Linked DNA regions of Lepisosteus oculatus. The protein of the gene in region 1 purifies or fractionates together with the protein of each later gene. This does not show direct contact. Links are inferred from orthologs where the notes say so. Each region holds a gene or a part of one and is shown on either strand. Other genes may lie near its edges. The genes, in order: rpp21, rpp30 and rpp40.

The links.
Region 2: the proteins of rpp21 (region 1) and rpp30 purify together in Homo sapiens (co-immunoprecipitation; 3 studies listed by BioGRID and IntAct, counting the BioPlex papers as one, with this or other methods). This does not show direct contact. The link is inferred for Lepisosteus oculatus from reciprocal best matches to the Homo sapiens genes RPP21 and RPP30.
Region 3: the proteins of rpp21 (region 1) and rpp40 purify together in Homo sapiens (co-immunoprecipitation; 3 studies listed by BioGRID and IntAct, counting the BioPlex papers as one, with this or other methods). This does not show direct contact. The link is inferred for Lepisosteus oculatus from reciprocal best matches to the Homo sapiens genes RPP21 and RPP40.

What each region holds. Positions count from the first base shown.
Region 1 is NC_090708.1:10,613,010-10,623,727, forward strand, and holds the start of rpp21 (ribonuclease P protein subunit p21), read left to right. Parts: upstream 1-5,359; 5' UTR 5,360-5,454; intron 5,455-5,562; exon of another isoform or gene 5,563-5,636; intron 5,637-5,860; exon of another isoform or gene 5,861-6,025; intron 6,026-6,355; 5' UTR 6,356-6,399; coding exon 6,400-6,456; intron 6,457-8,069; coding exon 8,070-8,170; intron 8,171-8,535; coding exon 8,536-8,618; intron 8,619-9,240; coding exon 9,241-9,384; intron 9,385-9,994; coding exon 9,995-10,122; 3' UTR 10,123-10,718. UniProt on the Homo sapiens protein: Component of ribonuclease P, a ribonucleoprotein complex that generates mature tRNA molecules by cleaving their 5'-ends.
Region 2 is NC_090699.1:21,221,048-21,232,019, forward strand, and holds the start of rpp30 (ribonuclease P protein subunit p30), read right to left. Parts: upstream 4,270-10,972; 5' UTR 4,219-4,269; coding exon 4,137-4,218; intron 3,803-4,136; coding exon 3,747-3,802; intron 3,657-3,746; coding exon 3,600-3,656; intron 3,124-3,599; coding exon 3,058-3,123; intron 2,966-3,057; coding exon 2,897-2,965; intron 2,511-2,896; coding exon 2,421-2,510; intron 2,075-2,420; coding exon 1,958-2,074; intron 1,818-1,957; coding exon 1,788-1,817; intron 132-1,787; coding exon 94-131; intron 1-93. Other genes in the region: kif20bb (kinesin-like protein KIF20B), read left to right, coding at 6,287-6,400, 6,949-7,038, 7,179-7,298, 7,441-7,579, 7,681-7,865, 7,941-8,004, 8,201-8,407, 8,539-8,650 and 4 more. UniProt on the Homo sapiens protein: Component of ribonuclease P, a ribonucleoprotein complex that generates mature tRNA molecules by cleaving their 5'-ends. Also a component of the MRP ribonuclease complex, which cleaves pre-rRNA sequences.
Region 3 is NC_090701.1:18,537,675-18,548,229, reverse strand, and holds the start of rpp40 (ribonuclease P protein subunit p40), read right to left. Parts: upstream 4,832-10,555; 5' UTR 4,658-4,831; coding exon 4,541-4,657; intron 2,504-4,540; coding exon 2,359-2,503; intron 1,917-2,358; coding exon 1,848-1,916; intron 1,568-1,847; coding exon 1,472-1,567; intron 106-1,471; coding exon 1-105. Other genes in the region: ppp1r3g (protein phosphatase 1 regulatory subunit 3G), read left to right, coding at 10,498-10,555. UniProt on the Homo sapiens protein: Component of ribonuclease P, a ribonucleoprotein complex that generates mature tRNA molecules by cleaving their 5'-ends. Also a component of the MRP ribonuclease complex, which cleaves pre-rRNA sequences.

The DNA.
Region 1 (10,718 bases):
TCAGTGTTGATTGTGAATTTTTATACATTTATATTTTTTTTTCTTCCCTCTTTAAATAAATTCACTTAAACTCATTCCTCTCTCTGTCCCTCCCCAGTTCCACTTAGGTATCTAAATACTTGAATCTCAAATCTCAGAAATCCTTCACGGATTAACTCTTCAGTCCATCACTTGTCAGTGTTTCTTTTATTTCTTCCTGGTTTGTTTTTAACAAAAAAACTGTTTACTGTACAAGAGTAGTTCTTTCTCTAATTCACTGGGACTTAGGAGGCTAAACCTTCAGATTTTTTTAATTTGTTTTAAAATTTTTGTATATTATGTACTTAAAAGTGGAAACCACAGACTAGAAATCAGGACATTTTGACTAGCTGTTTTATATATATGTATATGTATACTGTTTATTTTGTTTTTAAACTAACAATCTGACATGACGGTTTAGCAGAAATTTTAAGTATTTGCAGTTTTCTCTTTAGGTAGTTTTGATGTGACAAATGGTCATCACTGTATTTCCATTTACATGGAATCTAACTTTTCATTTTTGAAAGTAAAAGCCTCATATTGGCAAGATCAAAGAAAAAAAAGCTTTGGATTCAAAGTTTTCTTCCCCTCTCTTTCAGTAATTTAAGATTTAAATGTTCATATTATTTTTTATTTTGGAGACTGGAAACTAAGCAAGTGGATTTGCTGAAGCCTATTCCAAAAATGTATTTTCTATTTTATTTAACTTTGGATTTTTTCAGTAATGGTTCAGTTCCATAAAAACATTTTTGGAGACCGTCATCTTTGTCATTCTTTTACATGTTTTTTTATACAAGTACAGTGAAAGAGTAACTGGATACTGTAGTCAAACAGGATGTGCATAACATTTTTAGACTTTTAGTTTTAGTTCAAATGTAGAAAAGTGGGAAGAGAGACTGATAGAAACACAGTTTTAATGGGTAGGTATGTCACACCCAAGATACAGTATTGTAAGGCATGCAGGCTTCTGTCCTAAGACACAACGGGGACAGAAGCAAACATTACCACTTGAAAGTGAGAGAAAATGTAGATAGGTGTCTGTGTGTGTAGGTACTGTATCGGCTTCAAAGAGGTAATTCTGACATAAAATAGTCAACCTAGAAATGGTATTTGAGATCTTGACCTGTGGTCCAGGGTGTACTGTTGAAACTACTTTCAACCACTTGTATATATACAGTAAGTAATGGCAAAGCCTGGCTCAAGAGATTGGCTCAACTGTAAGAGGTTTTAGAAGTGCAAGGAGTCAAGAACAGACCAATTGAACATGAAAAACAGGTCTGGTAAAATGCTGTTTAACTTGACATCTAGGAGGCAGCAGTCCTACCAGTGACTCCAAACAGCTTATAAGACACACAATTCAAAGGGAAGAAAGCAAAGTTTGGGATCAGGGATGTCCAATCCTCGTTCTGGAGGGCCAGTATGTCTGGAGTTTTATATTTACAACTAGATTCCAAAGAAAACGTTTATTAAGCCTCCCCCTGAGGCAGCTAAAACTAAAAAGAAATCTTTCTTTTTGTGTCAAAAGTATGCGTGATAAATGTCCATGTAGCCAAAGAGACTGGATTTTTTTATATCTATTTCAAAATCTATTACTTAAGTTATTTTAACACTTGGTTTAACCCATGGATTTGCAAGGCCGCATAAAAATGCATTTTGTCAGACTGAGTATGACGGAGACGGGGCAGACAAGGTAGTAGTCATAAATTTACACTAGCACTTTCTCGTCTGCCATCTTTCGGCTGAGACGTTAGACCGAGGTCCTGACTCTCAGTGGTCATTAAAGATCCCCGGGCATTTCTCGATAAGAGTATGGAGTTATCCCAGTGTCCAGGCCAAAGTTACCCCTCAGCCTTTACCGTGGCCTCCAAATTGTCCCAATGTATCTATCAATAAAGTATCTATGTATGATTGGCTTGCATTGGCCCTGCGATGGACTGGTGTCCTGTCCAGGGTGTACCCTGCCTTTTGCTCGTGGCTTGCTGGGTAGCTCCGGCTTCCTGCAATACTGTATGGTATAAAGGGTTGGGCAAATGACATGACTTTCTCATCTGCTGCCTGACTTTATTTGCTGAAATTTAGATAACGTAAAAAGGAATGCATTTTCAAGAAATATTAATAGCATGGTATATGATATTTGCAGAAATTTAATGAAATCACCACTTAAGCATTAAATTAAGAATCAAGGATTCAGCACTGCAGCTAAAAAGACGAAACAAGCACCTTATTTGAAAATTAACAGTGTTATATGTGCATTTCCGTGATGCTTTTCGCCCTCAAGGACTCCAAAGCGCTTTACAGGAGAAAATCACTTCTCCGCCACTGAGCAGCAACCATCTGGGTTAATGTGTAAATGAGACGGCATCTCCACAGTTTGGAGAAATGGAACATTTTTTTTTGTTTCCAGGCCAAATGGTGCAACCCCATTGTGGGATTAAGCCAAAATACAAACGGTGTCTGCTGGGATGGGATTTGTAATAACTGTAAGCAGGGCTGCAGTTTAATGTCGCTCGTTCCTTGCCGGGTAGGGTCCGGCAGGTCGCGGCGATATGGCGCCTGTGTACCGGGGGCGTAGCCAGGAATTGATTTTTGGGTGGGCCTGGCTCTAACTGACCGTCCTGCCAGCATAGGAGCACCCCTCCAATTTACAATGCAATCTTCGAGCAGTATAATCAAACAGCGGAATTAGCATAACCCTATATATATACTGTCTCTCACACACACACGGGTTAAGCAACAATTACCTGGGCTGGCGAACGCTACTGATTGCAAAACGCAAGATTTAAAAGCCGTCCGAAATATTGTATTTAAAATGCTGAAAAGAGAAGAAAGAAAACACAACGTTTCGGCCGTGGAGCCTTCTTCAGGTTCTTTCTTCTCCTTTCAGCAAGGAATAAACCTATTACTTGTTCCTTTGCAGCCTACGCATGCTGACGCAGCTGCCCACTTGTATTTAAAATACCATGCAAGGTTTACCGTGACCTCCGTGAAGTTTGGGGTCGTGACGTCACTCAGCCCCCCTACAATGTCGTAGGGAAACCATACCGGTCTCATTCGTTAGTGCTATGTTTGTGCCGGTTTGTGTTGTTGAAAATAACTTCCCGGCTTCTTTCTTTCCCGAGATACAGTATAGCGCCCTTTTGGGGGGTGAGGTCACTCAGTGAGAATCGACACTCTGATTGTGCAAAGCGCCACAGCGGAAGTTCGGAGAACGTGTAGATACACAGGTGATGGATGTTTTTCTTGGTCCAAATACTGTCGCCCCGGTTAACAGTGTGTGCTGTATGAGCACGCTGGATATACAGTAACACATCCATTGGTTTCCAATTACTAATCAATCTAAGCGAAGTCGCACTGAGGTCAAAACTGAATAGCAGACAAAGAATGTCTTGGCATCCACAGCGCGTTCATGACTCCAATAGCATGTCAGGATAGGAGTGCGCGCATCACGATCACATCGCGATAGCCATTGCGACTGGCGCGACAGTAAGTCCATATATTGCGATATGACATACACCGACAAAACGCCCCCGCCCACATATCGCGATATGACAAAACTGCTATGCTTATGTCACGACATGAAAGGTCCTATATCGCGATATGACAAACGCCCACCCCACCCCCCCATGTCGAGACACGAAAAGCCCTATATCGCGATATGACAAACGCCCACCCCCCATGTCGCGACATGAAAGGCCCTATATCGCGATATGACGAACGCCCCCCCATGTCACGACATGGAGTCCATTTATCGTGACAATGACAAAGACTGTCACTCTCATGTTGCGACACGAAGCCCATATATCGCGACACATCCTATCTGGGTATATTATGTTTTGATATGAGACCTTTGTTGCGACAGCGATGACAGGGTGGCATGGAAGCAAGGCGCCAGTTGTGATATACACTGCTGCAATATACATGCGATATATATGTGGTCCTTATCATGACATGCTGTGGAGGTCTTGTCGCGGTGGTATCCCACAGTTAAGCGTTTGGCAACAGCGTGTCACGGTAGGGAAAGAAAAGGAAAATGTACCTTAGAAAATAAAAACTATAGATCTTACAATCACGGTGATTTTACGTACGTTACAACCTTAGGTTTATGTCATAGATGGTTAACTTGTTGGAATGCGTCATGTGTTAGTATTATTCACATCTAAGGAGGCTCGACCCCGAAAAAACAAGGCGCTATATCTCGGAAACGAAAGCAACACAAACGCAGTTTTCAACTGCACAAACGTAGCACTAACGACTGAGGTGGGTTTCATCGTTTGTGCTGTCTGTAGTGGGGGCAACTTCACGGAGCTTTTACCTTGCCGTTGAATATTCAGCGGACTTCAGCATAACATACCAGAAGAGCGTGCACGCACGTATGGGTTTCAGAGGTTGGAGTAAATGCATCGCCCCAAGGGTAATATCGAGTGAGGCGCCATGAGAATAAAAAGGTATTAAAAAATTAAGTTCTGAAGACACCCAATTTGGAAATTCGTGACTTCCAACAAGACTCAACACTGAATTGTTATAGTCGCATTACAGTGCTAACCAATTCATAGTACCTTTAATTGCAAGAATGGTCTGCTAATAAAAGTGTCAAATACATACTTTGGATGTATTTTAGCTCTGTGAACGTCGTTCACTTAAAAATACTACAGGGCATTTAGAGGCGATCTGAATAGTTATCAGTTAAATGCACACTCGCATCTATCCGTCAATAGTATCTTAATGCATTCCAAAACTTGTAATTTGGTTACAGGAGAAATTTTTAAAACCTCTTCCTGCTTAACTCCTACATGTCGAGCATGAATCGAGCTGCTACAAGCAAACGCGTGCACCTGTGTTCGGGAAGCCAGGCTGCAAATCTTAAAATCCAAGATGCCTGTATCATCTCATGTGTCTTATTTGTTTCGGGACTGGTCTGGTCAGCTACAAGCTGCTTTTTGAAAAACGTAGATATATGTATTTGTTTTGCCATATTGGTTAATAAACCCAAAACCTAGCGCTAGATAGCTCTAAGAGTCTCTGATGACAACGATAGCCAATTAGGCTACTGCTACGCATGCACCGCCCCACTATATTTACATAATTGTCTTATTGGCCACAAAAGATACCGCGAGCCAATAGAAAATCACATAAGAAGAAAAAAATAAAACACGTAACATTAAAAAGCAAATCATATAACGCAAACAAAAAAAAACCATATTTAAATTACTTTACACTGATTGGGTAGAACTAGGATCAATCAGGGTGGCCCACCCGTGGCTACGCCCCTGCTGTGTACACCGGTTCCGCCATTGGTAAGCTGCACTGGGCAGCACCGCACTCTCATAGTCCCCGCCCTGGCCACCACTGCTCCCGTCCTGTCCCTCGCCGGGCACCCCAGCCGGGCGCTCTTCGGCCGCAAAGCCAAGCGAGGGCGTTACAGTATAAAGCGGTTCGGTAAATGAAATGACATGACACGACATGATAAATTAATCGTTTGAAAAACATGCATATGATGTGTAACTTAAAAAACAAGGAGCTCACCAGCGAGCCAGTTTGTCGCATGGCCGGTTAGCTCAGTTGGTTAGAGCGTGGTGCTAATAACGCCAAGGTCGCGGGTTCGATCCCCGTACGGGCCAGTTCTTTTATCTTGTATTTTAATGTTACATTTGTGATTTGTTGTTGTATTTCGTAAATAATTTAACCTGATGTTTAATCTAACCTGCTGACTGCTACCAACGCATTAAATTCCTTCATGCCATTACGACGTTCAACAAAGTACCACCTTGGCACCATTTTTAAAACGCGTTTTGCGTTTGTCTATACAGTGTGTCCTTATTTGCTTACCATCCACTACAAAACTTTATTTATAACAGAAAACAGTATCTTAGGAACATCTTCAATTGTTGTTCATTGATTTTCATGTGGTTTTCTGTAAATTAGAAATTGTGCATGATTGGATTGTTAAACAGATGTAAACTTACTTTTATCAACTTCTGCGATATATGATCGACCTCCGGTTGTACACGTGAGTTATACTGTCGCAAGTTTACCTCGGAGAATTCAAAGTTAACGATTTTGTCTTTAAAAACGATTTACGGAAACACCGCTGAAAATGTATTATCCAATAGATTTGCTGAGGAAGAAAAATTGTTATTTCGATGGCTTATACTGTATCCAGTTATGCTGAATGCAAAGTAATCAAAACAATAAAATACACACTGTTTTCAGAATCAAATGACAGTAACAAAACATCACATATAACAAATACGCTTAACACAATGAAAGATTAAGTTTGGGAATTTACGTTCTGCTTATACGAGAATATGACTAAAGATCGCTTTATATCCACTCCTAGATTGTCCTGGATCGTCATTGGTGCGTCACAGACAGAACTACAGAATGACTGGCAACATCAAGGATAAAGAAGCCTTTCAGAGACTCAACTTTCTTTACCAGGTATTATGGTTTTGCCCTGGAATGGCAGTGGAACTGCAGTTTCTATATTACAATGCAGTTTTGTATAATTTGCAGACCAAACTGTGCTCAGTCGTAGCTGACTACTCCAAATATCTCGAAACTCATGCGCATGCTAAATATAAATATGAATACTATGCTTCACTGCTCTTGATTATATATCTTCTAATCACTTTTTTGATAATTAGCCACAGTGTGATTGGATATGCTTAGTTTAGGTTAAAACTATAGAAAATATACCATACATGAGACGCATAAAGAGAGCCTTTCTTTGGCAAGCACTATTTTCCACAAGAAAGCATTCAGATGGAACCTTATACTGTAGAATAAACTCATAATTAAGAAGTACTGTTGTCCTCGAACCAGCTACAATGTTGATTTCATGTAATCTCATTGCCCCTTTGAATAGCAAAAGGATAGTTCTGGTCTAAAATTATAGATGTTTATCAACACCTGTATCTGGTCTTTCCAACATAGCCTGTTGCAGTGAAGGAACATTTTTGTGCAAAATAGGTCGGGCTTAAGTTTTATTCACTTTTGTCTCTGATGCATTAAATACATTCAGTGAGGGACTGGGTATGTTTTTGGTTGGAGTTTCTGGAAGGAATATATTTTATTCCATTATATCAGGGCGGTGTACTGATAATGGCAAATAATTTTGATTTGTTTGTGTTTGAGAAGTATACTGAACATCAAATAAACTTCTTACATTATAACTGCAACAAATTCAGAAAGTATTATCAGGAAATACACCTTTTTGTAGGAGGTGCACTAATGTTTTAGAGAACAGATGCAACAAAGGGGTTCTTCTGTAAAATTGCAGCCTTGTGTCACCACCTTTGAAAACCGTAGATTTCCGATACATGTTTTGCAGCAGGTTGCAGATACTGTCTTGTGAGATTCTGTCCTGTTCTTCTCATAGAATGTGGACAAACCTGTGTCTGCTTATCTCACAAATTTTCAGTGTTGCTCATACCTGCTGAGCAGGGCATCCACAACATAACTCGAATTTTCTCGTCTCACGTGAGAAAGTTGTTCTTACCTGATCCGCAAGAGGACACGTTGTTCTGCAGGAATGTCCTGACAATAGGATTAGTAGTGAGTGAAGCCCCAGGAGTCATGTTGTCAGATTACCATCAGTCATTGCACGAGGAGTTTTGTAGCAACTACACACACTGGTCCAGACTGTCACTCTTGGAATTGTTCATCGAGATTGGGGAGGTGTCATGACCTCTGGTTTCACACATCGTGGCTGTCGTCGACGAGCTGTTTTCAGTTGTAACATCTGGCCAGATTACAATCACCAGGCTGTGAGGTTTGTTTTGGTTTTCATTTTTGATTCTCGATAGGCTTAACATTCAACAGGTTGAATCACTTTTCCAGTGACCTGTGCCCAATCAGCTTTCACTAATGAGTCGAATTAGTATTTAAACAACAGTCACCAGAATCATTAGAGGTCAGTGATCAAAATGATACCAAAACATTTAATCAGTTTTCCAAAATCCTTTTTTATTTTTCTAGGAACATGTATGCATATAGAGAATAGGTTCCTTTTAACATTTGGTGTATCACTGTTTCCTTTCCTCTGTGCACAGGCTGCACACTGTGTCCTGGCACAGAACCCTGAGAATGTGGAACTGGCCCGATTCTACTGCTTCACTCAGAAGACCATTTCCAAACGCCTCGTTCTGAGACAGTAGGTTCATCCACCTGACTCAGGGCCTGATGCGTCCTTTCAATACCTGATAAAGAGCTGTCCAGAGTACCACATACAGACATGGTTCTGTCATTTTATCTGAATGGAACAGAAATCAGTTTTGTACCGGTGACTAGTGTATTGCTAGGAGTTTCTTTTTATGTCCTTATTTTACACACCTCCTGGCAAATACTCTCTGAAGTATATTACGTAGATTAAGTATGCTAATCAAATTTAGTTATGAAATTAGCCATTACCTTTCCCATCTTTGCTTTGGATGCTAGACATAAATAGGCTGACTAATGTTTATGCACAAGCCTGTTCTGAATCTGTTTTGGTAACCTGATGGTTCACATTTCTTGCAGGGATCCCTCTGTGAAAAGGACACTGTGCAAGAAATGCTGCTCTCTCCTGGTTCCTGGAGTAACTGCAACAGTGAGACAGAGAAGTAAGTTTGGCAAAGTGCATTAACAGTACCCTCCAGATGTATTCACACCCCTGAAGAAATAGGAACAAAAAAACCAGCATAAAACAGTCAGATCTACAGACTAGATAATGAGCCCTGCTAATTGCTTTAAACACTACTGAAACCTTAATTGTATTGCAGAGAACAGAGTCATAATTCTAAGAAATAACCAAATGAAGAAAACGCAAGGGTCTGAATCCTATTTGAAGTATTGGGCTGGCTGTATTACAATGCTCTCCCTATGTAGTCGAGTTGCTCAACATTTTTTCTGCTGTCGGTAATATCATGATATCTAAATGGTTCAGACGTAACATGGGAAATTCTGATAATGTGATATTTTTTAACACCACTTAACTTTTTACTGCCAGGAATCCATTGTTTAAATCCAATTCTACAGTAAGAGCTCATCTTGGAAATGTACCTTTCATGGATTAATTTTATTTCAAAATTAATCTATGGGTGAGAGTCAGAGTTAAAGGGACGTGGTTTATACAGCTGACTATTCCATCTTTTTCCTTATGGGGGCAGTGTGCCATCATACCTCAGGCTTCAGTAGTGATAAACTGGGATTGGTGCTGTCTGATAGTGTTCATTTTGTTCTCAGGGTGTAGTCGGCGTCAACGAATGACAATGGTGAGATGTCTTAGCTGTGGACAGACCAAGCGTTTCCCTAACAATCCAGGATACCAGCTGTGGGTGGACCGGCCTGAAGCCCAATTAGAGAACCAACCACAGTTGGATAATACAGGTAACTCTCAGGTGACATTGCCTGCACAGCTCTGTCATTACTGCACTAAGGACTTCGAGAGCATTATATCCTACCATTACCAGACATTAATCTGAAGTCTGAAGGTAATGTGACGGCAAGATGTCATTAGGAAGTTCAAGTAGGTAGCTGTGTCGGCTGCAAAGGAACAGGTAAAGGTTTATTCCATGCTGAAAGAAAAAGAGACACAATGTTTCGGCTGGACAATTGTGTTTCTAATATGTCATTATGTTTTTAGTGGTGGAAATTTGTCTTTCATCTACAGTACCTAAACAGACTGAATTAACCAAAGATGAGCACACCCACCTGTTTCGTGAATCGACACACCACTCTATAATTAAAATAAAGTATACACTTGCGCAGGACTGCAATTAGTGTTAATCCGAGATGAATTAAATGTTTGTGTAGCCCCAGAAGACAGAGGCACACAGGAGAAGCATTTCATTTTTAAAAAATCTTTTCCTACAACTAAAAGGGGAGATGGCAAAATAAGTTAATTTGAAAAAAAAAAAAACGTTTAAAGAGCGACTGATTGTAGCCCTCTGGTTTAGGAGTTCTGTGTTGTCCAAGGTGTTCTCTGACCTATTTTTAGCTCAAGCTCTTCGATGGATCTTTGTGTCTACAGAACACAATCCAGGGACAAAGTCTCAGCAGAAGGGAAAGCCCACCAGTGGCAAAGCAGGGCAGGATCCCGGCCCTGCTGCAGGCCCAACAGCTTAATCTGTCCCCTGATCCTGCTGGAGCAGCTCGTGACTCCCTGCAGTCTGCCTGAGCGCAGCAAGGCTGTTGCAAGGGAGTCGTTTCTTGAATAACAAAGACATTAAGTAGAATGTGTAAGATCAGATTGAATCTAGCCAGAAGGCTAAGACATTCTGCCACACAGCGCTGTCTGCTTGTACAGTTTTACTCACTCACCTCAATGAGCAAGCATGTGAAGTTGAAATATTACAAAAGTGTTGGTTATGGAAGACTACTGTAGAAATAAATGGAGGACAAAATGCATTATGCATGGGAAAAAATGCTCATACTACATTTCATTCTTTTTTAGTTTAAATACATTTATGATTTTAAATTGATATGATGCATCTTTTTGTAACGTGTTATTGTTTTTTACAAACAATTCCTTGAGGGTCTAGTGTCTTCAGGTCTTTGCTTCAAACTGAGTAGTCAAAACAACCTAATTATTTTCTCGGGTAGACATACAGCACATAACATTTATTAAGGTTACTGAACACATTCATTACTGTACACATTACTGAACACATTCTTTGAACACATGAGCCTGCTTAAAATATTACAGTGATGTATTTCATAAA
Region 2 (10,972 bases), on another chromosome or scaffold:
TGAAGATCACATTAAGCTCACAAATTAGCTTACATACAAATTTCAAATGTTAGCATAAGTAATTGATACCACAAATATTTAACACAAGGATACAGGTTAGAAATGTCATAAGGTCCTCTCAAGTCCAAAGGCTGTGGGAAAAAAAGATAATATATGTTAAATGGTAAAAATGAAAAAGCACGAGAAAAAAAGAGTCTTACAAAACTCATTTAAAGGAAGGCTAGACACAGCAAGCAGCAACATAGTCCTACAGCCTCAAAAGATGAGTCTTTTTGTACTCTTGGCCCTGTTGCTCCTCCAGGGCTGGATAACAAATTTACACCTTCTTATCTCTCTCTAGGCTCCTGCTGGTCACCTGTTTGGGTCTAGAAGAGAAGCTTTACTACCACCAACCATTAGAAGTATACCATCTCTCACTAGCTTCTGCTTCTGAACTAGCCTGTCAGCATCTATTGTGTACTTTACTGCTCATACCCCATTTCCTTCCTTGTCAAGTATAGCCCTGGTGCTGTAGTCCTTTTGTTGCTTTGGTCCCTATATTGTGTAGGGGTTCACAACACTTACATTAATTGATTCCATAGCCAAGCATCTTCAACACTCAAATTCTTTTGCGTTAGCTCGTTTAATCGATTTTAGCCCTGCTTTTAACACCATGCAAGTTCATACTCTCTTACAACGCCTGTGTGACTCAAATGGGAATGTTATATGCTGGATCAAAGATTCCCTTACAGATCGACCTCAGAGAGACGCCTTGAATGGACGTGTACTGTCACCTTTTTTATTCTCAATATATACTAATGAGGTGAAGATTCAAAGTACACAGCCAGTCTGATTAAATATGCAGATGACATGGTTTTCGTGGGACTCCGTTTAAAGGACCAACATCTGGGTGAGCAAACTTACTTTAAAAACATCAGTATTCTTGAAAACAGGTACCAATCCCGCACACTGGAAATAAATGTGGCAAAACTAAAGAGCTTCTTTTCAATGCTTAGACCAGCGGAGGGCAATCTTTGCAGACAATAGTTCTTGTCAGTCCGTAGAGGTTGTGGAGAGTTTTAAATATCTGGGAACGCATATTGATCTGAGGCTGAGCTACACTGAGAACATAGACAATATTTTTAAGAAAGCAAGATAGAGGGTGTTTTGAATCCAAAGACTCAGGAACTTTAATGTTAGTCAAAATCTCCTAGAGATGGCATTATAAAAGCCTTGTCAAGAGCGGCCTGGCATTTAACATAACAGACTGGTATGGAAACCTGGGGCTGAAAAGCAAAACCAAACTGTCCAGAATTGTGAAAATGGCAGGAAAAATAATTGGGAAACAGCCGCCCCAGCTCAACGAATTACGTCATAACGCAGTTCTCAGAACGGCAAGGAAAGTCACAGCTGATTCCACACACCCACTCCTTTCTCAGCTCATAATCCTCCCATCAGGGAGACGCCACAGGGGACCAAAATCACATAAAATCATTTATAAGAAGTCCTTTGTCCCCTCTGTTATATCAATGAAGGTATGTAAATGTATCCCCCCCTCTACCTATTTATTTATTCAACTATTTATGTATTACATATTGTTGTTTGTGATTTCATGTGACTTTATGTGATTCTTATGTTTTGCTTGTGTTTGTACTTCTGTGGGAGAAGCCAAAGGCAAATAAAGTGTCTATCTATAAATGTCAATGTGTGACGGAATGTGCATTTAACAGTATTTTATAGCATTTGAGTTAAAAATGCCAGTAGTTCCTGAAATTGTAATAGGAAGAGAAATGAATTATAGAAAATACCTTTTCTGCTCCACTGGATATTATGACATTCTGCAACCAAAAAAAAAGTAAAAAGTAAAGCAATTAGCTTGTCACCACTTGTCTTTGTTAGGCAAACATGCATATTTTAAAATTTGTGCTCACAAAGACACAGCATTTTGACATATTTCAATGCTCCCTGAAATAAATACCTTTCCTTTGCAAGTCTGCATCAGGCTGAGTGCATTTGAGATTGTATATCTTCTCATGGTAGAGTCTTTAATAGCGGGGGTGTAAGTGATCTCAAAGAACACTCCCCTGTCTATTGCCTGGAAAGCAAAAACATATTTTAACCAAACGTAAGGCTGTAATTTGCATGTGCTATATTGACAAATACCCTAGTCCAGAATCCATTGAATTAATAACTGAAATATTTAAAAATGCTTAAATTTAAAAAACTTGAAATTTTGTCATTTTCTCCCATCTTGCCTTTTCCAACTAGTACTTCCAATTGACTCCTAGCCAAATTATTTTTTATCCAATATACAGTATCAATGTATTCAAAATAGAGATAATCCAAAGTTGGAATGTTTTTAATTAATCAGGCACACACAGATTTGAAAACAAAAATTCTGCAATTATCTAAATTGACAAGGTACGGTATAATGTACTTACACCATTTACGGGAGGTCTTTTGAAAAAGAAAGGCTGCTTTTCCGTGACAGTGATACAGATTATGTCAACATCAAATGTCATGCAGGCTGCCTGTTAACACACGAATATCACGAGTAGGTACATTTCTGACAATGGCTGTCAGGCTACCAAAATCCAAATGATGCAAAGAGGGGTGTTATTATATCTGTCAACATTTGTAGTATCCTAAAAACCATATCCACATATCAGCAAAAAAATAATATCAAGTGGCAAATTGCTGCAGTAAATACAATACTTTTAACTCTGGACATTCCAGACCGACACTCTAATCAAGAATATGTTTACAATTGACTTTAGAAAATGGATACCTATCTATTTTAATATTATTAGTAAAACATCGTGTTAAGAATAATTTGAAAGCAGTACTACTTATTTAGTATTCTTCTCCTTTTCTTTTTGTGATTTAGAAGCAACAAAAGAGCTAAATTCCTACATACATGAAACAGCTTCTCTGTTTTAGGGACCACAGCCACAAGGTCATAATACTTCAAATCTGCAGAAGGCCTCTAGGAAAAGAAGGAAAAAAAAATAAGATCACATAATATTATAAATGCACTGTCATTTATAACACATTCCACAGCAAAAATGTTGTACTTACAAAGTGAGATGCATCAGAAACTCCGAGTGTTAACCTGTTCAACACCTTAATTGGCCTGGATTTCCCCTAGGAAGAAAAGAAGCATACATTTAGTTTATAAACTCTTCAGTCTGTCTTGGAGAGAAATTAGTAGTGCAAATGTGCTGCGCTACTATTTTAACGAAGGAGCAGCATTTATATATTTGAAATTGGCAAAATACCCATGACTAAAACTGGAAAGATGAAGAACTCTGGCTTGAGAACTCTATTCAGTGACGTTTATAAGCTGTTTAGCTGTTACCCCACAGGTGTCCCAGGCCATCAGATGTAGACAAGTCAATGTTAAGTGTCTACTGTGCTCCAGATTCTGAACCAAACCCATCATCCAGCTCAGCCTTGTCAGGCTCAAAAGCTCCACAAAGTAAAACACAAAGTTGTACTACAAAAGAGCTGACTTTACTGACATCATATTTAGCCATCTCAGTTCAAGTACACAGAATGACAGCACGCTTATGCCAGTTTAATAAATGCAGAAAAGCACCACAACAACATCGTTACAGTACCTGTACAACAGGGAGTTGTCTGAACAGTTCATCAACAGAAGCAGGTTTCCTTATTTCCTGCAAACCAAACATGATTTCAGCAATGGCATACATTTAGCAAATATTTTGATGGTGTATGATTGACATACAATGTACCCCGATTGTTACCTGCTTCTTTGGTTGTAAATCAATCAGATGATTTATTGCCACCGTGGAATAACCAACTGAAAAGACAGAAATAAAAAAAAAAGATGGGAAAGGGTTTGAGCCTAGTTTTAAATTCGGATAATAGCAAGAAGTGTCCCAGCTTTAATATAGGGACTGTTAAAATTAGCACGTTTTAGGAGAGAAAATTAGAATAAGCAAACAGCTCACTGTAAATAAGCTTTATAAATACAAAGCGAAGTACAGTTGTAATTTTGACTTAAGTAAAAAAGCCTCACTTTGACGATGTATGCATCCAACTGTCTGTATCTGTAAATCAAACATGTGCTCTCACCATGTACTTTTTGGGAGTTACTCGTTATCTATAACTTTTTCTTTGAAAACAATACTTACGATGTGCTGCAGTTTCTATAATATCCCGAAGCTGTTTTTTATCATCAGTGTAGTTTATGTTTAAATCTGCAAAAACAGCCATGTTGGTTCCACGTGAGACACACAGAGCTCATGTCAAGGGTTAAAGTGATTGTCCGCACCGGTGCTGCATGGGAAATGTAGTAAAGGCTAAGTAATATACCGTCCATCTTAAAGAAATTAGATAAACATTTAGTGTATTTCTGAATATGCTGTGTGTACAGTTCTCGTTGTTTTGTAAGAGTTAAGAGATTGTTTTTACGCTCATATGTATTATTTGTTATCTAAACACTGTTAAACACAGTATAATTGAATTTAACATAAATGTTGCATCTCCAGTTAATCATATTGGGGACTTTACTGGAGGTTTTTTTCGAATACGCATGATTTATAAAGCTGTATTTCATAGCCATACAAATTCCCATTGGAAAAAAAAGAAAAACAATTTCGTCTTTCCAGTTCCGCTTCCTTTCCCATGACCCTCTTCGCTAGTGACGCCTGATTGGTTGATTTTAAAAATAAGAACCGCGATCATTTATGAAGAACGGAGTGCTGTGGTTTGGATAAAAGGTTTCGGGGGGGGAAAAAAAAAATCATTGTCTGTGTAAGTTTGGTGATATTTCTGGTTGTATTTCAGAAAGTATTCATGTTTGTGCATAAATGGTTGTTGCTATGATTTGCGACTTTTTAAATTGTTTGCACTTATTTTTTTCCGTTCCAAGTAATAACAACGTGAGGTAATCCGAAGTAGTTTAGTTCTAACCCCTAAAAAACCAATAGGGTTTATACAACGCAATTACGTTTTAGTTTCAAGTTTTTTTAAATGTAAAAGTGGTTTAGGAGATTGCGGTGTATAGGTGTTTCTGGGGAGATGCAATTTATTGGTATTGTTTATCATGTGAGCTGCTTGTTTGGCTGATTGTCAAGTGTCATTTTGTCTGATGGGTGTTTTCCTGCTTGATTAATAAATTCTTTAATAGTTAAAGATGTATCGGTCATTCAATTCCACGAAAACTAGGTCCTAGTTAGATGGGTGGGATATTTGCCAAGTTTAGATTTACTGTACTCCTTGTGTTTGATTTAAGGGCGTGGATAGGAAAAAAAAGTATATTAATCTGTAAACCAGAGTCTGGGACTCGGAAAATCTGACATCTAATGGAGAAAATAGGAGAACACTTCCTTCCTATGAGCAGTAAATTTCTCTACTGTCTGCCTAAACAGGTCCAAAATTAATAACATTATTCTGAGTTACAGGTGAAGCAGAAACGTGTAATGCAATCACAGAGAGATAATTAATATAAAACTTTAAAAAGCTATAAGAAACAAGTGTAAACATTTGGGGAAAATATTAGATTATTTATTTTCACTAATAATAATAATCAATGAGTATTTTGCATAGATTTACTGTAGATCTGCAGGAGGCTACACATGAAAGAATGTGTATGTTAATACAGATTTGTCTTTGTTATCAAGACTTGGAGAAATATCAATATCCAAAATATCAAGCATTGTAGAAATAAAAGTGCGCAGAATTTATGAGTATTTAACAAATTGTAGAATTTAAATATTGAAGTTATGTCCAACTTTACGGAGCCTTCTTAATACCTGATTTAGAATATTGTTTAGTTTAGTCAGCATACCAAAGAAAGATTCTTGACCTCGAGTTCAAAGCACACCTGTGAGAATAATTCCTGTTCACAGGGAATTGTCATATGCAGAGAGGTTAAAGGAATACAATTTCTCAATGCTAGAATAGAGATTGGTTAATTCATATGTAGCCCTAAAAGTTAGTCCAAGGGAGTACTTCAGATAAATGTTATTAAATATTATGACCCAATACCCTGTTTTGATAACGGGAACGTGGGGTCATAATTGGAAACGAAAAAAGGAATTGTTTTAGGATGGAAAATAGTAATTGTGTTGGCATTACACAAAATGTTGTGGATATCACTCTTGGGCATCCCAGCCATATATTTGAAACCGAAACCTTGGGCTCCATCGGTTAGGTAAAATTTCACATTCACCGAGTTGCCAAATACGAAAAGAGAGAGAGTCTCCACTATTTTGCAACCTTATAATTTTGTCTAATTTTGAAACTAATGTCTGTTTTTTGCACTGCATATTTTTATAGCATGATGGAATCCTGCTTTAATGACAGATTGGAAAAAATAGAAGCTGTGAGTATAGAGGATTTGAAAAAAGATCTTTCTGGAGAGTTTTTGTCCATGTCTTCTGTTACTTCTGAGGTAAGCTGCTTTTAAAAGAACTGATTTAATTCATTTTAAATTGCTGTTGACCTAAAGTTTAAGAAGGTGTTATATGATGCATCTCTATCACATGCTAAGCATGGTTAATCGGTAATTGTCACGTTAGCTAAACAGCCCTGTGCCCCAGCGTAGGGGTAACAGACAAGTTAGCCCTGTAACGTAGCCTTTTTCTAAACAGATTTGCAATCAAAAGTAGTATATTACATTTTTACAGAAATGGGAGGACATGATTGTTCCAAATTTCTACATTTAAATATAGTGCCATATATTTCATAGCATAATAAGCTTCCTTTGGTGATGTGTAAGCTGTTTGTTTTTTGCTGGTAACTGCCCTTTATTTTAAAATTTTGGTTTCCAATGCATTCGATTACTTGTTTATACCTCTTGATTGTGTATGTTTTGGCATTCATTTGTAGTTGAGGTTGTATGCCTTTTGAGGATCTCTGAAAGCTCAGAGTGTCCTCCACTCAGGAAGTTCCACTGGTGCGTTAAGCACCGTTCTTAAAATGTGCATATATGCCTTCCAGGAGTCCAGCTTACAGGAGAGAGAACACTTGCAGGTTTACCTTCGTATCAGACCTTTCACACAAGCTGAAATGGACAGCGACGAATCACAGGTAAGCGGTAAAAAGGCAGAGCGAAGGGTGTCCAGTTCTTAACATGAGGGTCTCGCAATGTGAGCAGTAACCGTCTGTAACGTGTCAAATCTTGTAATTCTAGATTTAATTTCTCTTCTCTTCTTTCTTTAAACGTGCAGGAGTGCGTTAGCATTGAGAATCCAGATAAGGTGTTCCTCAAGGCCCCAAGGAGCTCTTTATCATCTCGGCTCAGTGATAAGTCACTTCCTCAAACAGCCCAGCGGTTTCAGTTTTCACAGGTGAGTTGTCGAACCCAGATCTAGCACATTATCCCATGAAACATTCTCATCTAGATGTAAGGGATGTGACCAGAAATTAATGTTTCATGATTATTTGTTATACTGTCATGCTCATTGTTTTTTCTATGTTCACTTTCTTCAGGTTTATGGTCCAGAAGCAACACAGAAGGAGGTTTTTGATGGCACAGTCAAGTCTTTAGTTAAAGACTTTCTTCAAGGGGGAAACTCCCTTGTTTTTACTTATGGAGTAACCAATGCTGGAAAGACCTTCACCTTTTTAGGTGTGATTTTCTACGTTCTTTTGTGCTATTTCTGTTATTACAAACCATCCATGGTTGCAAATGTAGCTTAGTAACTAATAATAAGATTTTTGGTTTTACAGGGCCCGAAAACAATAGTGGCCTTCTGCCAAGATCTTTGAATATGATATTCAACAACATTCAAGATAAAATCTATACAGAAATGGACATTAAACCACAGAGATGCAGAGAATACATGAGGCTGAACAAAGAGCAACTCACGAAGGAAATCGCAAACAAAAAGACCATTCTGCGATTAGCAAAAGAGGTAATCTTTCGAAATTACTACCTTTTCGTATTCCCTGTGCTTCATACTGTTACTTATCTAAATTTATCTATGCAGTGTGATTTACAGAAAAGCATGATTTCTCAATTGAATTCGACCAGCAAGTCAGCCATATTTGAAGGTATGTATTCACGTTCAAACTTTTAAGGCCTATTAAAGGATTTTTTTAATATATATATATAAGTCAAACAAGGGTTTTGCCCAATACTACTTCTTGAAGAAGCTAGCTATGTGGAATATTTGCCAATCAACTCGACACTTGCATTTGTTGTTGAAATCGTTTTTTCCTCTTGGGTTTGTATTCTGTTTTTTCACAGGCACTGCTGTGAACAACACAGAAGAATTGGATTCAGAAAGCTTCACTTTGGATATGAACAGTCACTCCAAATACTCGGTCTGGGTGTCTTTTTGTGAAATCTATAATGAAAACATTTATGACTTGCTTGAAACGATCCCAAATAATTCCATGAAGAGAAGTACTCTTCGGCTCTCACAAGATGTGAAAGGGAATCCTTTTGTAAAAGGTATTTCTGTTTTCTTTTTCTTTGGGCTTCACTGTACTGGTGGGGATGTTGGACAAGAACTCTTTAAGGTGTATATGTGATAGGATTTATGAACTGACATCTTAAAGACCTGAGTCTTTCTACGTTTTTAGATCTCAAGTGGGTTCAGGTGAGTGATGCAGATGAGGCATATAAAGTTCTAAAATTGGGGAAGAAACACCAGAGCTTTTCCTGCACAAAGCTGAATCATCTGTCCAGCAGAAGGTAATGCTATTTAAAAAAAACGTAATTCTAACTGCTTGTTTTTTTTGGGGGGGGGGTTTGGGACATTGCATTATTTCCTTCCACATTCTGTTATGTAGAGTGTTTGCTAATGGAAAAATTATACACAGTTTTGGGAATCTTCACTAGTATTTGATTCTGGACTCGTAACCGAAACTTGTGGGTTCAGATGCTTGGTGGGACACTGCTTTTATCTTTTAAGAAGGGTGCAGTTGGAGTAAATACTAGCCATGGAAATGGATCTAAATAAGTATTTCTTTAGATGAAATCAGCCAATTAATGGTAATAATGGAAATGTTGTTTTTGGAACACTCTTATAAGGGACTGAACTCTTCCAATTGTTTTTGTCTTTAAAGCCACAGCATTTTCTCCATCAGAATCTTACGGATTGAAGATCTTGGTATACCTCGTGTACAAAATATCAGCGAGTAAGTGTCGCTTTTGCTACTGATTTTTTTTTTTGCTTTGTTGATTTTTAAATGCAAAGTTTGACCTTCTTTTTTTTCTTTTTAGGTTGTCATTGTGTGATCTAGCTGGATCGGAGAGATGTGCCAAAACCCAGAACAAAGGAGAGCGCTTAAAAGAAGCAGGAAACATTAATAGCTCCTTGCTGATCTTGGGCAAATGTCTCAAAGCACTGAGACACAACCAGCAGTCAAAGTAAGAAGCTAAGTTTTATCATTCGTAACTAGTACTTGGTATACTTTTGGGTAGTTATGATCATTTGTGTACATTTAAAGTGTTTTCAGTAATTTGTTTCCTTTGTTTTGTGTTTTTTCCCCCTTGTATATCTGTAAAGGTACTTACTTGCTTATAAGCTAAAACATTTGATTGGTGCTACTCTAGGACTTACTAGTCTGTCTTCTGAGGATGCTTAATTTATTTTCAATTGAACCACAAGGTGGCAACAGCATACTGCATAGACAGGAGATAATTTTTAGAGATTCTCTAAAACTGGAGAATGTTTGGCCCTAATATTACCGTTAACATTGATTCCCTAAATAGAAAAAACAATTGCAAAACCTTTCTTTTAGCATTTTTCTAGAAAAGTTAATGTATAAAATACTCATAAAAATGAGCCTGGAGAGCTATGTTGGTTTGCAAGCTGCAAGGGACCAAGTAAAGGTTATTTTTTAGGCTTAAAAGCAAGAAATCCACTGTTCTTCAGGGGTGTTGAGGTATGAATGGCAAAGGGGTGGGAAGGTAAGAACTGCAAAAGAGAATGGGTAGAATCGCTGAACAGGGAAACTGAAGAGACTGAAATCTGGATCACAGTTTCCAGGGGAAGAGTGTAAAGGAGAAATGTGTAAATGAAAGAGTAGAAAGATTACTAAATTGTCTCTCGTGGTGTTTACTGTGCATTGTTTTTAGGCTGCTACAGCACGTACCCTTCAGGGAGAGCAAGTTGACCCATTACCTTCAAGGTTTTTTCTGTGGCCGAGGAAAAGCTTGTATGATTGTGAACATTAACCAGTGTGCTTCAATGTTTGATGAAACATTGAATGTACTGAAGTTTTCTGCACTTGCTCAGAAGGTAAACATTTATCTGACAACGTATCGCCTCCCATAATAATTTTAAGTTCTAGAAACTGAGTATGTTGCATGTGCTTACAAAAATGGTATTATGTTTACAGAAAGAAATGCCTCTAATTATCTTTGTTTTTCTTTAAGACTGAGTTTGATATTGATCTCTGCCATTACATTAGCAGCATTAAGTAACCTTGTTCACAGACGGGGCTTTACTTTTCTCATGAAAAGTTAATTACAGTTTCATCTGCTCATTGACTCTCTTTATTTCCATCTCTGCAGGTGGTGGTTCTCAGTACAACAAAGCTCGCTCCTGTTGTTCCAAAGAAGTCAGCCAGAGAGGTGTCATTCATTATTAATAATGCAGACAAAATGAGGTTTTGGAGAAAGAGAAGGAGCTCCTTAATTGGCTGGGATACAAGTTTAGAGGATGTGCAAGAAAACGATGATGGTGAGGAGAAGGAAGAAGAAGAAAGCTTGGAAGAAACTATGGAGGACATCATCCAGGAGGAGGAGGAAGAAGAAGAAGAAGTTGTTGTAAGTAAAGAATCTTATGAGGTAAGTTTCTTTTCCTTGCCTCAGAACCAGTGGAAAATTATATAAAGATTAATTTTTTAGCAGTGTAATTTTCCATTTCTTACTATATTTTAAAATTTTATAATTGTGACTCTTCCCATTATTTCTAGATATTAAGACAGGCAAATGGTCTCTGCAAGATTAGTGATTTGTTATAGAATGCAGTTTTTCAAAATTATGTTTATGATTTTGCAACTTTCA
Region 3 (10,555 bases), on another chromosome or scaffold:
GGAAATCACTTCTAAGCTGCACCTTTTCCTTCAGAGCCCACATCACACGTTTATACTTGTTTGTGCCAGGAGCCAAAGACTTATCAGCGAGATCAACGGTAATAACTGGGAAAAGGGAAACAAAATCAGATCCATGGAAGAAGAAAAGGCATGAATACTGTAAAAAACTAACAAGTAATAGATTTTTTCCATGCTGAAAAGAGAAGAGAGGAAACGCAACGTTTCGGCTGTGGAGCCTTCTTCGGGTGTGTGTAAAAAACTAGTTCATCACAAAGAATTACAAATATTGAACACAGTTTTTGGTGCACTATGAATTGCTTGAATTAAACTCATAGTTGAATTAAACTATGAGTTTTTGTAAAACAATTCTATATTGTATACTGTATATACATTGTCACCAAAAACACAACCTCCAGCCATAATGATATATCACCCTGCAGCCATATCACCCTGCAACTCACAGCTAAGCAGGTGTGAGCCTGGTCAGTACCTGGATGGGTGACCTCCTGGGAAAAACTAAGGTTGCTGCTGGAAGAGGTGTTAGTGGGGCCAGCAGGGGGCGCTCACCCTGCGGTCTATGTGGGTCCTAATGCCCCAGTGTAGTGACGGGGACACTATACTGTAAACAGGTGCCGATCTTTGGATGAGACGTAAAACCGAGGTCCTGACTCTCTGTGGTCATTAAAAATCCCAGGGCGTTTCTCGAAAAGAATAGGGGTGTAACCCCGGCACCCTGGCCAAATTTCCCATTGGCCCTTACCAATCATGGCCTCCTAATAATCCCCTTCTATGAATTGGCTACATTACTCTGCTCTCCTCCCCACTGATAGCTGATGTGTGGTGAGCGTTCTGGCGCACTATGGCTGCCGTCGCATTATCCAGGTGGATGCTGCACATTGGTGGTGGTGGAGGGTTTGTAAGTAATAAACTTACAAACATAAGGCAAAAGCAGTGAACGTGAAGAGTGAAAATCACATTATTATACAACATTAAAAAGAACACCAAAGCAAAGTTAAATAAGAGAAATGACATTTACTATTTAATAAACAAAAGGATTTGGAAATCTGGAGAAAAAATAAATTGCTGCCTCACAGTGTTGGGGCCCTGGGTTCAATTCCTGGGGTGCTGCGTGGAGATTGTATGGTTTCCCCGTGTTCAGAAAGGTGCTCTGGTTTCCTCTCACGCTTCAAATACATACTGGTAGGTTTATTGGCTTCTTGGAAAACTGGGTCTAGTGTGAGTGTCTGCATGTCTGCGTCTGCCCGGTCATGGACTGGCGTGTCATCCAAAGTGTATCCTGCCTGCGCTCGGTGCTTCGGGCCACTGGGACCTCGAATTGGATAAGCAGTAACTGAAGGTAAAGGAGACTTCAATATAAAGAAGACCTCTTTCAAACATATAGTATGCATGTGCAACCTTGTCAGCATGCATTTCCACCACCTCGGCACAGCACGGCCAAGCCACTACTCACCATATCTCACAGGCACCTTGTGGTTATACTGTGACGGTTGGCCCTCCAATCCTAGGTCCTCGTAGGTGTCTTTATCAAGAGATAAAACTAGTTTTCCTGCAATTAAAAGGCATTTTAGTTATTAAGGTAATCATAGAAAAACTACCCGAATAACAAGATGTTTTCACTTTTCCTTCCTTTACTACTGTTCCCACGCCTAAAAACAGATATTCTGTGCTACAATTGAGAGCATTTCACACATTTACTGCTCAAGTATGGCACAGGGTCGTACACAGGATAAAAGGATTACAAACAATCAACATATGGTCTTCACGGACAGGCATATTCATGGAGTTCTGTCTTTCATCAAGTGTAAAATCGTCTTGATCTATCTTACCCGTTGGAAGAAGTGCAAAAGTGTTGTCTTGGTCTATTCTGGTTTTGTATGACAGAGCACAGAGGGATCCTGCAATTATACAAAAACTTTCAAATCAGATGCAAGAGTCAGAACTACAGACATCAGGCACACTGAAAAGGGCACTCACACACACAGAGGACTGCATAAGTTTCCCACAGATTCCAAGCACTGTGCATAAAGTGCCTTCATCTAACAGTATAACACACAAGGCCAAGCAACCAGATAATGTCTGACAATAATCATTGTCATAGTATTCCATTTTGCATTTGGTGTGAATATAGTATCCATATTGATGCTACTCATTTTAATGCACAGAACACTGCGCCTTAGGAATGGGAAGACATTCACATGAACGAGCAGACAGATTTTTTCTTTAGGGAATCAGAAGTGGTGTGTCTTCAATCTCTTTCTCAGAATCAATCATGGGAATAAACGACTGAACCCGACCACTAATAAATTCAAACTCCAGTGAAAATTAAAACAGGTCTACCTGCTTTCACCTGCTTTTCAAGAAACTTCTCTTCCAGTATTTTATAGATGGGGAAGTTCTTCACCAAATAATATTTTGCAATGCTATTCACAATGCTTTTTAGCCCCAATGGTAGTGTTCCACACTCAGGAATTAAAACAGAAACCTGTTAAAAAGAACAATCAAAAGGGATAATTTAGGATATACAATTCCTATTTGTCAGATTTTTAGCAAAAGGCATAAATGCATATGAATGAGGCACTGCATCAACTTGCATTTGCTATAAAAAAAAGAAGGAAGAAGAGGGTTAATCCACACTGAAAGCAGAAACATTCTGGCCCTTGAGCCTTCTTCACACCTGGATATTTTTCAGCATGGGGAAAGTAACATTTACTTGTACCAAAATACATATGTACACACTTGTTTCTGCCAGAAAACAACTTCCCCTGACCAAACATTTCTACAGTCCACACTGATAAAAAAACAGTTTAATCTTAATCTTAATTTCTGCTTTATTTCTGTTCGTTTTCTGGAGGCAGCTGGTTCTACTGTCCCAACACACTAAAATCACCTTTGATTGGTGTTTGTAAATCCACAAAAGCGATTACTATGTTTTCTAAAGGATGGTTTGAAAAACAGAAATTCAATTCAGATTTCTGATACAATGGAGTACATAAGATGCATAAAATGAAAATGTGCATGTCAAACTAATTTCACACTATAACAAAAGAATTTATAACAACCAACCTGTTTTCTAAGAAACCAATGTATTGCTTTTAAGTGACAAAACTGATGGCACAACTGGAATTCATAAAAACTGAACCTATGAACCTTAACAATATTCAGTTTTTTGTGATGTGTTTTTGTGATGTAGAAAAATGTTGTATGAGAACGTAAGAAACATTACAAATGAGGGAAGCCCATTTTTGCCAATATATTTAATTCGGTTGGTCATAAGTCAATCCAAGGATCTTATCCAGGCATTTCATGGAAGAGCAGATGGCATCAGAAGCTTGTTCCAGACACCCACATCCTTTTGTGTGAAGAAGTGCCTCCTGTTCTCACTTTAACCTGCACTTCTGCTTAGACTCCACGTATGTCTCCGATTCACGTTTCAGTGTTAATTCTGAAGAAGCACATAGGTTAACTTTGCTAGTGCTTCTGATGATACAGTGGTGCAGAGGTTTGCATTGCTGCCTTGCAGTGCTGGGGCCCTGGGTTCAATTCCTGAGGTGATATCTGTGTGGAGTTTATATGTTCTCTCTGCGTTTGTCTGTGTTTCTCCCAGTTGCAGTGGACTGACATCCAGTCCAGAGTGTATCCTGCCTTGCACTTGTTGCTGGCTAGGATAGACTCTAGCTCCCCTGTGTCCCTGAATTGGAAGAAGAAGTTAGAAAACACCAAGATGTACGAATTCAGTAAAATCAAAATTCAAAATAAATTCTGTACTGTAGCAGAATCACCATAGGTCAGTCTTTAGATACAAGTGGATATGATTTGTAAATACATCCGGGCATTTCAGACCTTTACTCTGTCCGTCTTTATAAAAGCCAATATTTTTTCAACATAGGTTACAAACAGCATTTCTGTCTGACGTCACCGTTTCCTGTTTCTGTCACTCGAAGATTAATTTCCTAATGACATCTGTCTCTGAACTAAAATCGTCCTTGCAAATTCTACAGCCCACGACTCTCAGTATTTTTCACTTGAAGCTGCCCCAGTGCAAGATGCATACACTCTTATTATATTTAAATACTGTAAGAAAACAATCTACCAGGAATACATAACGAAATCAGACTTGAAAAGGTGCCCTGGAATCACTTATAAGACTCCAAATTACCGGTAGGATTCTGCTAAATCAAAGACGTAACCACATGAGTGGAAGAATCTATCAGGAACATAGAAGCAAAAAGAAGACAGAGATGATGTGGTATACACGAATTCTGCTTATAGGACTCTGGTGGTTTGGAATTCTGGAAGTTCTGGCTCATTTTCAGTTTCTGTTCATTTCATGCAGCTGTTCCCTGGAGACAACATACTGTAAATCAGATCTTAATCTGTATAGCCTTTTAGCGCAGACTGTCTTATTAGAAGCGACCGAATGCTTTTGCTCTTTTGTAAAGTAAGCATATTAAAATATCACCGTTTATTTTTGCGTCTGCAAAAAACATCACGTTTTCAACACTCAACACTCACCACTCACCTTGTAGTTAAAATAGTGACCGGCCACGTGGACGTCATGACGTGACTTTTCATTCAAGAAATTCGATTTCTCACACACCAGTAAATGCCTTGGACACTTCTCCAGGTCAGTCAGCATTGTTAGTCACAAGCACAAAACAGTGCCTTCATCAAAGCTGATTCAACGCGTTACTTCGTTTATGCAAAAGCAAGGCTCAAGATGAGAAGTATTTCCTCTTCTGTTTTGGTTCTTTGACCACTTCGTACACGCGCCTTTGAGTAGCCAATGGTAGGCTGTAAAATGACGCAGATGACATCACTTCCTGTCGCGTGCTCCCTGCTGCGAATTTGACCTGCCAATCTGCGCCTTACGTCACTAACCTCGCACGCAGTTGCTGATGCTGTGTAGTTTTTCAAGCGCAGGTCCTGCGCAAACACAAACGTCTTCATGGTGTTTTAGCTGTGGATGCAGCAAACTCAGGGATACGAAAACCTTGAGATTCAGTACAGGCTATGTAGTACAGCAAACCGCTTAGGAAGCACAAACTATATATTCTATTAACACATATAACATATTTTCGAATGTCCCTGATACTTTTATCTAAATCATCTTAAATGTATATATTATATAGATTTATACATTTATACAGTTAGACATTTTTGCAATAATAGTAAATTTCTTTGCTCAACTGTAGCAGAAGAGCAGAACCCCGCGTAAGAAGTGAGTCCACAATATTCGAGTTATACTATAAACCGGAGGTTTAACCAGTGCTCCATACAGTCATACAGTACATCATCTTTGTGCGGTAATGTGAGTGACAAACAAGAAACACCTTCGTAAGAAGGAAAGCGAGAAACCATAAAAAATAGTACTTTTGTATTTAAGGAGGGCTTTAAAAAATGCGGCTTTCAAACCTGAGACGTCAATGTTTGCAGGGCCGTATTATCCAAAGACTGCCAAAGACGTACGAAAATTAAACCGTTTATGGAGAAATTTTGAGCATTTTTATGATTATGATAAAACTGTAACAAATATCTCTTCTTCAATAAATATGTTTTCGAACAAAATCCTAAATTTGTATTACCTATCTACCCATTGAATTCAATACACTCTTAAAAACGCCTCCATCTACAGGGCATAGGAAACAGAGGTTGCCCAGGACCCTGGAGGACTTTAATTCAGCTCAGACTGAAAGTGTTGGAACATTCCCACAGAGCTTGTAACATTGGACAATATATACAGTATCTGTGTTTTTTAATGTAAAATAATATAATGTTTTCAAACTACAGGGGTGTATTCAGCCTACTGTATCTACTGAGTGGGTTTGGCTTTTAGTAGCTAGTGGATCTCATCCAGTGATACTTTTCCATTGTCATTGTTTATTGTGTAATCCAGAAAAATGTACATTGTCCTTGTTCTTATACAAGAAATTGTATATGGCCAATAAAGTGAACAGATCTTAAGGTGTGGTGTTAGGGTCCTTGCGACAGAAGAGCAAATTCAGTATGCAGCTCCACACCACATTACTGGTTTCCTGGATGCTCACCAGACCTGAGTAAGAACCAACTGCAAAGATAAAAGAGGACTGTTTATCAAAGCTGTGTGGCTCTGATGATGTTCAGGTGTTGGAAGTGCTTTACATTCTCTAGTTGTAGAAGTGCTCCAGATGAGTTCTGGCACATAAATTAAATACAACTGTTTATTTGCTCTGCCTTGCTCCTGTTGCTTGCCGGGATAGGCTCCAGCTCTCCTGTGATCCTGAATTGGAAGAAGCAGCTAGAAAATGGATGCATGGAATTCCTTTGGATAGACAATATTCCTTTAACAGTTAGAAAATAAAACGGTAAAATGGAGTAATTAGTAAGATTCAGATTTTTATTTTGGGTGAAACAAAAAATCATTTGCACTAAGGTTTCTAAAAAAAACCCAACGGGGCATTGCACAAACAGAGGACAACCACATAATAAAAAAACTAAAATAGCGCTGAAAGAAAAGAATCCAGGCCCTTTCAGATTAAATTTTAAATTTTATTTAGATTCTTTCAATCTTACTTGAATGGAAGTGCTAAAAATAAAATAAAAACAGTGCAGTTTTAATTCGTTTTGATTTAATTCGTTTTCATGCCAGTTGTTACAGGGGTGGCCAGTTTTGCATTTTTCCCATTCCCAAAACCTGTCCATTCCAGCAGATGGCAGCAGTATGCAGAGGAGGGAAAGGCTTAGTAGCCCTGGATCCCTAAAAAGGACTTATGGGGATCCCCAATGGGAAAGTGCATTTCAGAGACCTTTACTGAGCTTGAATGCCAAATCAGGTCAATGGTACCCTGCCACATCAGTCCTGTCCAACCTTCTCTTGTAGAACTTGGGGTGATGTGGTTTAAGCCGCATTATTGTTAGATAGAATAAGAAGCCATCTAAAAGTGGCTTACAAAGGTGGATGACTTTGTTTCTTTGACCGTACATACTTTAGAGGGCCTAGCATGCTCTTTCAAGGACAAATTGCAGTCATCAGGAATGGAAACAGGCATTCCCAAGCCACCATGAACACAGGGTTGAGGCAATCTTGGCAAAAAGGGTAGACTAGTCGGCGCAATGAGGTGCAGGTTCAACACAAAGTCTCCATCCATCAGCCTTTAAGCTCACTCATCCTGCAGGCAGAATTGGTCATTTTACGTACCAAAACAACCAAACAAAGGTCCCTGGTGGGGACTCAATGCTTAACAGGCAGCTGGAGTCTCCATGCTCCCACCAGAATTTAGCAGACAGTGGGGGTATGTCCAACCTCACATGCAGAAGACACTGCAGAAGGAGAGGTAGTGCTGGGAACATACAGTACAAAGGAGATTTCCAACCCAAAGGTGCACCAACAAATCAATGCCCAATGTGTAGTCTCAGGTTCAAAATAATGCAAGGCAAGGGGTTGATTCTTTGGAGGCAAGTAAATCCATGACCAGAGAGTTCCTGCACCTCGGCTACAACACCCAAGTGGAGGTGACATTTACACTCTGTTTACAAACACAGGAGACACGGGATCTACAAGGATAAACATCTGGGGATCATCCTGGTCAGAAAGTGATGAAATTCTGCCTCCTGCTCCTTGACCAGAATATTACCTGTTGTGGTCTATATACTTGACTGGGGTTCCTAATATTTTAGACTACTGACTTTATTGCATTTAAAAGACAACTGCACACTATCTGGAGATTTGCAATTGGACCTACGCTGTGTTCTGATTTTGTTCCATTCTCTTACTAGAAGATCATACACATTTAGTGTGTATTTTTTGTTCATTGCTTTTGGCCGTCATTGTTTCCCAATGTTTTTTATTTGTTTTGAGTGGTTTTTAATTAATCTCTTTGAGTACTTTTTTCACGGGAACCATTTTTTGAAAACTCTGTTACAAGTTTTTGTTTTTGTGACATGTTTTATTTCAGCGGTCTCATTAAATTTTCTGAAGACAGGAGCCACAGCACACTCCTTTGGAAGGAAATGTCAGTTTTATTTACCAGATGCAATTAAGGGGAAAAAACATTTAAATTAACAAATCAGCCTTTATTACAATGTGATAATATTGACTCATCTAATAGATGAAGAGGGGAACAGGGGCTCTATAAAATATTTTTTGTTTACCAGAGATGTAACTCAATTATCTTCCTGAATTTATAATTGCTATTCTACCACTGCTTAATCTAAACAGATGGTAATTTTACTGTACTACTGTAAATCAATTAAATTATACACTATTAAAATATTATACCAAACTGTGCATATCGTGCCCAGAACTTATCAACGTAAATGTTAATTTGAATTTTTAATTTTACTGTCTACCCGTTTGAAACAATGTATTGAATATCTATAGCTTTTCGTTTCTCAGTTTCAGAATAATCTTAAGAAAAGTACCAAATGTACCCATTACAACGGGGGAAAAAAATAAGGATCATAATGTTAATTCCAGCTGGTGAAGGCAGTATAGTTTTGATATGCAACAATGCGACACAACTATATCCGATGTCGTACTCTGTTAGGCTGCTGCAAATTGAAAAGTAGATGGAGACAGATTTCTGTTAAGCAATGCTACTAGGCAAAAGTGTTTCTTGGACTTTAAAATCAAACAGAAAAACGCAGTTAAAAAAGCATGTGTTAAATGTGCTTTTGATGCGGGATCTACAGTATAATATTACATAATACTGCATTATTTAGCGCGGTCAGTCTTTGGACCGGACACTCCAATATAAACGCTTTTTTTCCCGCAGTGCTTTGTTATTCAGGTACACGAGCGAACAAATATGTGCGTAGTTCACTGGTCATCAAAACAGATATTTGTGATAGTACACTTTTTGCCTTCTTTGTGACGTATTTAGTACATTTAGCTTTTAAATGCGCAAAGTCTGTGTTATGTAATTTATGCTGATTTACTTAACTGAGTTCAAACCATTGGGTTTAAAGGACATATTTAAAGATGTGATATGATGAACAAGCTGCTTTTCCTGTGTGACGTTATTTCTACAAATTCTTTCCCATTTTCATTATTTTGTTCTGTTGAGCATTTGTTGTTATTATCCAAGCATAGACTTACTTGCATTACAATACATACATTACTTATAAAATGGTAAATATATATTATTTAGATTGTATATCTCACTGCATAACGCGAACAGTGCTCTAACAACTGTTGAGTGTCTACCGAATGTAAAATAAATAATTCATATCACCAACATAACCTTTTATCTGTATGAATGAGGCAGCATATTGTATAGTTTCCCCCTAGGGGGGAAAGGTTTTAGAGGCAAGTTATACAGACTTAGTCATGGTGCTGTAAGTAGCTTTGACAAAAAGTTTTTATGTATTTTCCAGTTCATCAAGGGTTTTATGCAGTACTACTGCTGAAACACAAACACTGGTGCTTCAAAAGCACTTCAATGTTTCAGCCGTTAACGATTCGACGCTTTTTAGAATTGTGGTCAGGCCTAAGTCATTTATTGTTAAAAGGTAAACTATCCGATATTCTTTCGTTACATTTGGTAACTTCTGAGTTATCTGTTGACTTAAAAAAAACGTTTTCACGCAAAATATGCGTTATATCATGTTATTCTTGTTATAGTTAGCCAATAATTACTTTAAAACAACGAGATACGAGTGAAAGGCTTAAGCGTAACAAAAGCTGCTGAGTGCAAATTAATGACAGGGATGCTAAAACATGTCAATGCGGTAAAGCTATCCCTGTTATAAATCAAATGTCATCGCTACATACGCAGACGTTTACCCTCACGGTGATTGTATATGGACAACGAAGTACAAGACAGACTTAACAAAAAATTATAAAGCCTGTTGGGATTGACAGCGTTATTTCAAACAGCTGTCCCATGTCAGACGCAACAGGGTCAAGCTTATATTGTATGTACTGTACACTCTACTTCAAAACTGTACTGAGAATAGGAAATGCCAGTTATAGTTTAGAAGTCTTCTCTCTTGTGTGCAATGAGTGTATGTGGGTTTATACCAAAATGGATCCTTTTGTTCGCTGCCTGGATATTACATGTAGCGCAGCGCGCAAAGAAAGCGCATTCGACGCAGTGTGGAATTAAACGGCTTTTTATTTGCAACCCGCCCGCTGCCGCACCTCCCCAATAGAACTTACTGTATAATTTCAATTTCGAAACGCATGCTCGCCAATATTATGTCTAAATAGCCACAGGCTACTTTCACTATTATAATGAGCCTATAATATTCTACAGTACGTGCTGTTTGCCTCGTTGCCCGGTGTGTCTCTTCTTGGTTTGGTTATTTCCGTAATATTGTGTTTCTAAGTTACGTTGCTGTGACGCACCACAAAACTAGCTGATGCTGGACAGCAACAGGCAGCTTGTTCTCCCGGACCTCTCCGGATATTCTTAAAAACACGGGTGGGGGGGGGGAGCAACAATAAGTCAGAGCAATTTTCCCCCCTAAACGTGCACTCGCTTGCACTGAAAACAACTCATGGATACAAACAAAACTGAGTTCAACGATACGTCCGACTCGAGAACTGCAGAAGGGT